Nothobranchius furzeri: one gene and its partner. The protein of the gene in region 1 interacts with the protein of each later gene in a pairwise test. Links are inferred from orthologs where the notes say so. Each region holds a gene or a part of one and is shown on either strand. Other genes may lie near its edges.

The links.
Region 2: the proteins of cluap1 (region 1) and cinp interact in binary tests that used the Homo sapiens proteins (3 or more experiments, as listed by UniProt). The two-hybrid records come from large-scale screens. The link is inferred for Nothobranchius furzeri from reciprocal best matches to the Homo sapiens genes CLUAP1 and CINP.

The regions. Positions count from the first base shown.
Region 1 is NC_091748.1:64,768,250-64,772,563, reverse strand, and holds the end of cluap1 (clusterin-associated protein 1 homolog), read left to right. Parts: intron 1-113; coding exon 114-186; intron 187-267; coding exon 268-378; intron 379-1,226; coding exon 1,227-1,276; intron 1,277-1,536; coding exon 1,537-1,596; intron 1,597-2,942; coding exon 2,943-3,110; 3' UTR 3,111-3,244; downstream 3,245-4,314. UniProt on the Homo sapiens protein: Required for cilia biogenesis. Appears to function within the multiple intraflagellar transport complex B (IFT-B). Key regulator of hedgehog signaling.
Region 2 is NC_091758.1:16,265,546-16,270,559, reverse strand, and holds cinp (cyclin-dependent kinase 2-interacting protein), read right to left. Parts: upstream 3,624-5,014; 5' UTR 3,496-3,623; coding exon 3,468-3,495; intron 2,364-3,467; coding exon 2,192-2,363; intron 1,961-2,191; coding exon 1,825-1,960; intron 1,595-1,824; coding exon 1,465-1,594; intron 1,018-1,464; coding exon 815-1,017; 3' UTR 322-814; downstream 1-321. Other genes in the region: H/ACA ribonucleoprotein complex subunit DKC1, read left to right, coding at 4,205-4,220. UniProt on the Homo sapiens protein: Component of the DNA replication complex, which interacts with two kinases, CDK2 and CDC7, thereby providing a functional and physical link between CDK2 and CDC7 during firing of the origins of replication.

The DNA of each region.
Region 1 (4,314 bases):
GCACAACCTGTCTCCATAAAATCAGATTCTTTCATAAATCACGATGAGATTATAAGAGATGGTCAATTGAAAGTCCTGTGGTAATAATGTTTTTTTACTTGTGTGTTGTGCAGGAAGCTGAAAACAATCTGAGGATAGTGCAGCACAAACTGAGGGAGAAGGAGAGAGATCTGATGAGAGGATCCTGTGAGAAAATCAAACACACACTAAATGCTTACTCAAACCCATTTGTCCAGTCCCAAAACTCTTGTCTTTTGTCTCTGGCAGTGAAAGATGAGGACTCTGACTTGGATGTTCTAGAGGACGAAGGGTCAGACAGCGACCTTGAAGAATCTCGACCCTCTAAGCCACGACTCATCAGAAATGGACTCATGGCAGGTACGCAAACAGGCTATGACTGTGGTAAGCCTGACATATCTGGCTTTTACTTAAGCCATCATAATCTAAGAGTGTAAACAGTGTGGAGGGACTGAAGCTGACCTTCTCACCCAAGATGGATCAGGCTGCAAAGATGTATATAAATGTTCCAAGTGAAAATGTAGATTCTTAAGAGCAGGCTCACTGAGAAACCTTTTTTTTACTTAACATTTTTGAAAATGACTCTGAATATAACATGCAGGCTCAACCTGAAAATAGTCTCCTACACCTATCTCCTGCATTTGCTTCTGATAGAAAATGGATGGAAAAAGGTTGGAATCAGAAAAGCCTGACAGATCTATGTCACACTGTCACTTAACGTTCATGGACTCGCCCATCTGGACTCACAGCGGGGAAGGCTGCTGTTGTTTAGCATTCAGGAAAGAGCAGAGCTTGTCTTGGCAAGTAGAAGTGAACCGTTAGCATTAGCAACTCCACCACACAGCAGAACTCCTTAAGTCTTGTGTTATCTGTGGAGATCAAACATCAACGTTGCACAGCAAACAGAGTCAGTGGTAGAGTCATGTTGCTGTTAGCCAATCAGTGGAGAGATGTCCAAATTTCAGGACAAGACTCCAAAGCCTTCTCCTACTTTCTACTCCGGCTAATTTCTTTATCCTCAATCAGGTGCACCGGAGCTTTTGTTCCCCAGAGAACAACTTACAAGGCATTAATTCCCACTAGAGACCGCTGAACATGTATTAAAAACTTGTTCTTTAATTCTATGCCCAGAGCTTTGATTAAATTCTTGTTCAGAATCCTTTTCTCTTACAAATTCGTAACTGCTTGTTGTTTTTTCTCCTTCTCAGGGAGAGGAGGACATTTTATCGGTAACATGCAAGGTGGTGACAGTGATGAGGTCAGTAATATCTTAGACTTTCTAATATTCCTCCATTTTTGTACTTCAAGTCTTTCTGTTTGCCACTAGCACCTCTAAGTGGTTCTCGCTGTGACTGACTCTCAGCCCATCTTAATTGTCAGTCTGCTCTCCTGTATCCTATCATGGCTTCAGATTCATTTTTTATTTCTGTTTGGTTTCAAACTTTTCCTTCCACTGAAATTTTTGTAACTTATCTGTGTTTGTTGTTTTCTTGTTGTCATTCACGTGGTTTTTAAAAGGTGTTTTTATCAGCCTCCACAAGGTCAACCCGCCATCACTTAAAACAGCAGAAAGCAAAGGTTTGTGGAGGCCATGGATCCCATCGACCTGCCTTTGTTCCCTTCCTATGTTCCACTCTCCACATCACAGTTTGTGAACAGTAGATCCTCATCTGTGTGGTCAGTGGTAGCTAGTGAAAAAAAAATCTAGGTGGCGTTATGTGTGAAAAGATTTTCCCTTGAATCCATTTTAATATTACAATTGAACTGTTGGAAAATGACTACAGTTTCAAAACAATCTTTTATTTCCCTTCTCTAAATAAACTGATTTACAGATAAAGCCAAAGTAAAATTTACAGATGAATTAGACTATAATAATACTCAAATACACAAGCCTACCATGAACACCTTTCTACAAAGCATGAGCAATTGCAGTCATTTTTGGCCTTATTCACATTTTATTTTGACATTAATTTGTTTTCCAGCTTGAGTTTTCTGCATCAGTGTGTCTTAATTAATCAAAGCATGCACACCTCAAAGCGCAATACTCAGTTCCACCAGAAGGCGACGCTAACAGAACATAGAAATTTAGTTAGATATCCTGTTTTGACAATTTAAATCACATACAATAAGAACAAATAAACACACTTTACAGCAGAAGGTACATGTTTGATGTTAGCGCTACCTATATAAACCAGCAGTGAGTGAGTGAGTGAGTGAGTGAGTGAGTGAGTGAGTGAGTGAGTGAGTGAGTGAGTGAGTGAGTGAGTGAGTGAGTGAGAGAGTGAGAGGGAGAAGATCCAGCCCCTTCTAGCATTCTAGCTAGCCATTTCCTGTAGCATGGTCACTATTGGCTGGAGACATAAAATTATGTGATGCGTATTGGTCAAAAATGCCCCAGTTCTCTCTAGCAACCACCCACGATTGGCTGTTTTGCTGCAGTTCAGGGGCCCAGTCCCCCTGCAGTGATATTAGTGAGGCTGTTTGATGAGAGACTGCTGGTGAAAATGATGAGTAAATCATTCAAATTGCATTTTTTGTAAATATTTGGATATGTGTTGTAGGGGGGATTTTATTTTATTTTTTAATTTTTTTTACACATTTTAGAATTTTTTTCTCCATTTACGTCAGGGAGGATGTGGAAGAGCCGCCACTGTCTGTGGTGTTGTTCTATGCAGATAAAAAACATTAGGTGTGTGTTGTGTTAAATTGTGCTATTTGCTTATTAGACTGTGCCATGTGAAGCAGTAAGGCATTAGCTGTTCTTGTGTTTAGTTGGACACAAAACTCCTCCTGGCTTCTGTTCCTTTAAGTGTTTTTGTGGATAAATACTTCAGACAACTAACATTAAAACTGGATTCTTGAAAACAGACTTGAGCTTTTGGGTGATTACTTATTGTGTTTTTTATGTTTGCTGTACATTTCAGACTGAAGATAGTGAGATTGATGTGGATGATGATGATGAGGAAGACGATGAAGGTGAAGAGGAGGAGAGCATTGATGACAGTTTGAACGGCCTGCTGTCGAGGGGTAACCATCCTTCCATAGGAGGCACAAGATCCCCTCTGCTGGAGGAAAGTGACAATGACTTCTGAGATATGAGCAGTTTCCATGTGCCAGCTCCAGTTAGTTCGTGTTGTCACATCTCAGAAACATATGTGAGCAAGTCCTATTTACAATATAGCTTCTATTCGTTAATATAAATAAAGTTATTTTATTTTAAAATGTGCTTGTGTGTTGGTGTTTTTTTCCGCCTGACAGCACGATGGATTTGAAGTGTCAAACTTAAAAAAACTATCAACAGCAGATGAATTTTATCTGAAAGTCCATCCATCCATTTTTAGCCGCTTTTCCGGAGTTGGGTCGCGAGGGCAGTAGCCTAAGCAGAGAGGCCCAGACTTCCCTCTCCCCAGCTACTTGGTCCAGCTCCTCCGGGGGAATCCCAAGGTGTTCCCTGGCCAGCCGAGAGACATAGTCCCTCCAGAGTGTCCTGGGTCTTCCCTTGGGTATCCTCCCAGTTGGACGTGCCTGGAAAACCTCAAAAGGGAGGGCATCCAGGAGGCATCCTGACCAGATGCCCGAGCCACCTCAACTGGCTTCTCTCGATGTAGAGGAACAGTGGGTCTACTCCGAGCCCCTCCCAGATGACCGAGCTTCTCACCCTATCTCTAAGGGAGAGCCCAGCCACCCTACGGAGAAAACTCATTTCAGCCGCTTGTATTTGCAATCTTGTTCCTTTGATCACTACCTAATGCTGGTGACCATAGGGTAAGAAACCACATTGTTCCCTCTGAATCCGAGGTTCAAGAATCTGGCTGACTCTCCTCTCCAGAACCCCTGAATAGACCTTACCAGGGAGGCTCAGGAGTGTGATCCCCCTGTAGTTGGAACACACACTGCGGTCCCCCTTTTTAAATAGGGGAACCACCATCCCAGTCAACCAATCCATGGAACTGTCCCCGATGTCCACGCGATACTGCATAGCTGCATCAACCAACAGCCCCACAACATCCAGAGCCTTAAGGAACTCTGGGCCTATCTCATCCACCGCTGGGACCATGCCACCGAAGAGTTTTTTTGACGACAATATCCTGGTAGAATGGAGAGTCCAACCCAAAGTCCCCAGCCTCCATTTCCTCACTGGAAGATGTGCCGGTGGGATTGAGGAGGTCTTTGAAGTAATCCACCCACCAATCCGCAATGTCCCAAGTAACGGTCAGCAGCACACCGTCACCACTGTAAACAGTGTTGGTAGCACACTGCTTTGCCCTCCTGAGATGCTGGATGGTGAACCAGATT
Region 2 (5,014 bases), on another chromosome or scaffold:
ATAAACAATCATTTTAAAGCACTGTTATTATATCTGACTGTTTTTAACAGCAACCCTAGCTCAGACACCACATCACCTTCCACATATATGTCATGAGCTCGCTGAACGTCACATTACCAGACTCATATTGAAGTTGTTTTGGTGAAAGTAACTTAAAGTAATGCAAAAGTAGTGTAATGCCGTACATTTTTAAATCAGTAATATTGTAATATAATGAATTACTTTAAAATGAAGGTAACAAGTAATAAATAATGCATTACAGTTTTGAAGTAACTTGCCCAACACTGCTCGTGAGGCATTGACTTACAGTAGAGAACACTGCAAATGTAAACCACAACTTAAAAAGGTTAAATGAAGAAAGGAGCAAAGCTTCAGGATAACCGCGCTCGTCTCAGACCAGTTTATTAGCGATCATCTAATGTTTCAGAGCTGCTCAGACCTCCAGTTGTTGCCCAGCTCTGACCTGCTGATGGTGCGGAACAAGCACGATATCTGATCACTTCAGAACTATCAGCCTTTGGTGGTGGTGCGTTCACTGACCACGACATGCTTCTGCTGCTTAACCGTTGTGCATTCAGGAACCATAACTAATCAGGTATGAGGAGTTCCAGGATGACCGGACCTGAGTCATGGCATTGGTGAAGACAGAAGCATTTGTTATGAGATGTTTTGCTGAACATGTGCAGGATTTCATACCCAGTTTCTGATTCCTGCTGCTCTTCTGTAGGACAATCATAAAAACTTCTCTAATGCAGGTCTACACCCTAACCATCGCTCCCACGGACCACAGGAGGGTTCACTACAGCAGGCCAGTCTAGAGTGGGCGATGGCCCGTCTCCAGCAGCAGAGCCTCTAGTCCAAGTCTGGTTGCTGCTGGGATGAAAGGCTGGTGGAGCCAACAGGACAGATAGACCTTGGAGAGGTCAGAGGTCATGGTGTGGGCGACTTCCTGCAGAATCGTCTGCTTCAACTTCAGCTCCTGACTGAAGGCAGCCAGCAGGACACCAGACATCTCCTCTGAAACAGCAGACAGACCATATTAAACTTATTGGTTCAGTGGATTCATCAAAGGTTGGAAGACAATTGAAGTTATTTTCTAATGTGTGTCCAGACATCTGCATCTCCACCGCCAAAGGAACCTGCTGCTCTCATTCCAGAGGACCACCGGGAACACCAACTCCTCCACAAGGAGTGGAGACGTGGGTGATGACTGAACAGGAGGTCTTTGTTATCATCAGAGTTCTAGTTAGTGGATCACTCATCAGAACGTCTGAGGTCACAGCATGAAAGCATGCGTTTGTGATGGTAGCAGCATCAGATTGTTGCCATAGAGACAACTGGACCACCTCATAATCAGCATATACTCCTCCTGCTCAGTTTATGATGCCAGGTGTTGGTAGTTTTCCCCGTGGAAGCAGAACCCCGTCCAGGTGACGTCAGCGTGTTAGCTTCAGGTGGACCTACCAAACTCCCGGGTCTTCCAGCTGAGACACAGAGGGACACGTCTTCCTTCAGGACCAAACTGAAACTCCTCCAGCTGCAGAACGCCACGCTGTATCTCCACCAGGTGCTCCATCTTTTTCACCACAACAACCTGAGCAGAAGAAACACGTGGCTGGAGTGAACCAGGGTTACGTACTGAAAACTAAATGAGCAGAAGTCATTTATTTGACGTGAGATTGAATTAAACGGTCCCAGACCAACCGCAGCTTTCCACACACAGCAGCTGTTTATCAGGTTAGAAAAACTATTTTATTCTGAGACTCAACATATAAACTCCTGATTTATGGAACCGTGCCAGATGAAGGTTAAATGAAGCATCACCATTCTGTCAACGACATCCTGCAGTTTGAGGCATTCATCCTGCAGCTCCGCAGCTCCAGCCACCTGCTGCGCCTCAGCCGATGTGGACTGTGACGGTGGTGGACACGTGTCCAACACCAGCAGATCTCCCTGAGAACTGAAGACATAAACATCACCACAGCTGATGATCCCTCTGATTTATGAGTCTTTAAAAACCGACCGCTTAGAGCTTAATGTAGACAAACGAGTAAAGCTCCGTCTTATGATTGCTCTAAAGAAAACGAGTTATCTCCACCCTTACTCATCTGGATCCCAGAGGGTATCTAGTGTGTGTGTGTGGGGGGGGGGGGGCTAACTTAGAGAAAAATAACCTAAATAACAAACTCACTGCCTCATGTTGACGATACTTGCTGCCAAATTGAATCCTTCGTCGTTCAGCCTGTCCCACCTGAGCATCAGGTTGTGCCAGTCAGCGGCGTTGTCTCTGATCTTCCTTGCACTTCCTGTGATCCAGGTGCACCTCCTGTTTGATGGGGTCGCTGAGGTGTCACAAGAATCACCTAGAAACCGTGAATTTGTGTTATTTCTCCTTTCATGCAGTGAAACGGAGCACACACACACACACACAGAAATGATTTGTTTGTCATACAAAGATCTGCTAAACTAGCTTGGGTAGACAGGTTTGTCCCCCTTAAAGAGACATTTGTCCTTTTGGTTTAACTTCACTTCACATCAGCCATCATCTGACCCGTTTGAGGAGTCATGCTGCAGCTGGTTGGGCCAAACTGAACCTGGACCACAGAAACATTAGCTGTCAGATGAGCTCACAAAGGTCAGGGGTATTAAAGGCCACGGCTCATAGACCGTCTCCAGGCAGCTTCATGGTCCTGGGACCTCAGCTGACAATTTTAATAAAGTAGGAGGTTGATGGGAATGTGGGCAACCACTAAGAACGTGGATCCGAGATGAGATCCACTCTCAGGTTGATCAGAAGGAAGAATCAGACAAACAATGCATCCAGGACTGTTGAAGCCTTTCTGATCCCACCATGAGGGGTTGAAGACCCAGGAGGATTCCTGGTGACAGAAAAACCCAAAAGAACAGACTAGAGATCACCAAAAACCACACTGACGAGCTTCAGGGAGAGCATCATTTTGATTGATGAGATGGAAATCGGCTCTAGAAACACTGTAGAAGATGGAGGAAGATCAGTTCTGTTCTGGACTCACTGCACCTGGACCAAGGATTCCTGAAAAGGTTCAGGGTCCAATCCCAGGACCACCAAGACCCTCTGGAGCCAAATCTACTGTCCAGAGTCTATCATCAGAAAACACAGCTAGGAACACCGAGAATGGATCAGAACCAAGCACTGGACTGTTCTGAACTGATCTAGATGCTGTTGAACATCTGTGATAAGAGCAGAAACATCTGGAGAAAGAACACCTGGAGCAGTGTGGCCACGAGTAATGGGACAGAATACCTGCGGACAGGAACGATCTAAATAAGTTGTCCTAGTGAATGTTGATGAGGCAGCTGGGTTCTGCAGGGTTTCATTTACAACCCTGCAGTAAAACATCCACACGTCATCAGAATGTTTTAACCCGGAAGCTGCAGGTTATTCAGACCTGAACAAAAACTACTTCACTAATCAAGAAGATCCTCACCTTCCATCTGATCCTGAAGTTCTCGCATAAAATCCAGCTGAATTATGCTGAGTCTTCTTCTTCTTCGACGTTTGTGGGTGGTAGCAGTGCAGCATTACTGCCCCCACCTGGCCTGGAGTGGACACACGTTTATCAAACAATAAAAAAGGAAGTATTTTTATTGGATCTGCAGCTGTGGACACTCAAATTCCACTACGCGGAGATAGTGGGATTTTGGGGTTAACTGTAAACACTGATCCGTCCCGTCTGCCGTCCGGGTGGACACTGAGGTATTTATGTTCCTCCGCCACCTCCACCTTCTCTCCCAGGATGGAACAAGCATTTAGCATGTTCCCGTTTCTTCTAAAATCCGCAGTCATCTCATGTTTTTTCCGTTTTTTAACACACTATTGCACTAGAGGCCCACCAGTGATCTGTGTCTCACTACTTAATGACAGACTTATCTGACTCCAAATATCACTGGCCTTTTTTAGTGTTTATTTCCCCCCAGGATGCTAGTTAATTAAAGAAGAGCATTAGAACCACCGAAAGAAAAGTCAGAATTATTTTTCACATTTATTTTTTTCCATTTTATATTTAATTATGTAAAAATTGTATTTAAATAGCAAATTCATTTATTTATTTACCTCATTTGGTTTCATTTCTGCTCTGTGACCAGTTGGTGGCGGTAGTGCACCAAGTACTTTCGTGCCAGCCGCCATAAAACATCAAGCAGAAGAAGAATCTTTCATTAGAAGATGGCGGACGAAGCTGGTGAGTGTCGAGCACGTTTTGTAAGCGACAGTCTGTGTTTAATTTATTGCTAAGTTTGAACATAATTCTGCTGAGTCAGGGATTTTATTAACAACACGTCCACGTGCACGTACAAGCGTGTTTTACGCAGAAGGAATCGCAGTAAAAAAAATTCCTAAGTTGGTCTATGAGGAGGTTTGGCAGCGTCTGAGCCAGTTAAAACAAACAAATCCCTCCACGTGTCCAACATGCTTTAGTAGTTGGGTTTAATTCAATAACAGAACTAAGGGTTTGCTCTGTGGACTCGTGTTTTCTTCATAAGCTCCAGCAGCGTTTAGTGTAGTTAACTTTGAGAGAGCGGGTTCTCGGTCAGTGGCCTGTTAGCTCCGCTAGCAGCCACGTGCGCTCCACCACGTGCTGCAGCTGCAGGCCACGTGGGCTCTATATCATTCATTTACAGTTTTCCAAATTTACCAAACTGCAACAGGGATTTAAATTTCTGTTCCTTCAGATAAAATACTTTCTTTCGGTCGTACTTTTTCCACTGAAAGGCCCTTTTGGGCTCAGAGTTGCACTGGAGCAGGGCCCATCTCCAGGGCCACCATGCTGCACGTGCTGCAGGTTTGCTGCTCCTGCACACATGAAGGTAATCGCCTGGATAAACCTGTTGAACACTCTTTTAAAAAGCAGGTGTAGTATGGTCCCTGGAGTTAGTGACCTTTAACCTGAGGTTACCTGGGACCAGTAACCTGTTATAATGCAATGTTCAGTTCCCGGTGGGCATGAAGACTCGTCTAGAATATTGGTGAACACTT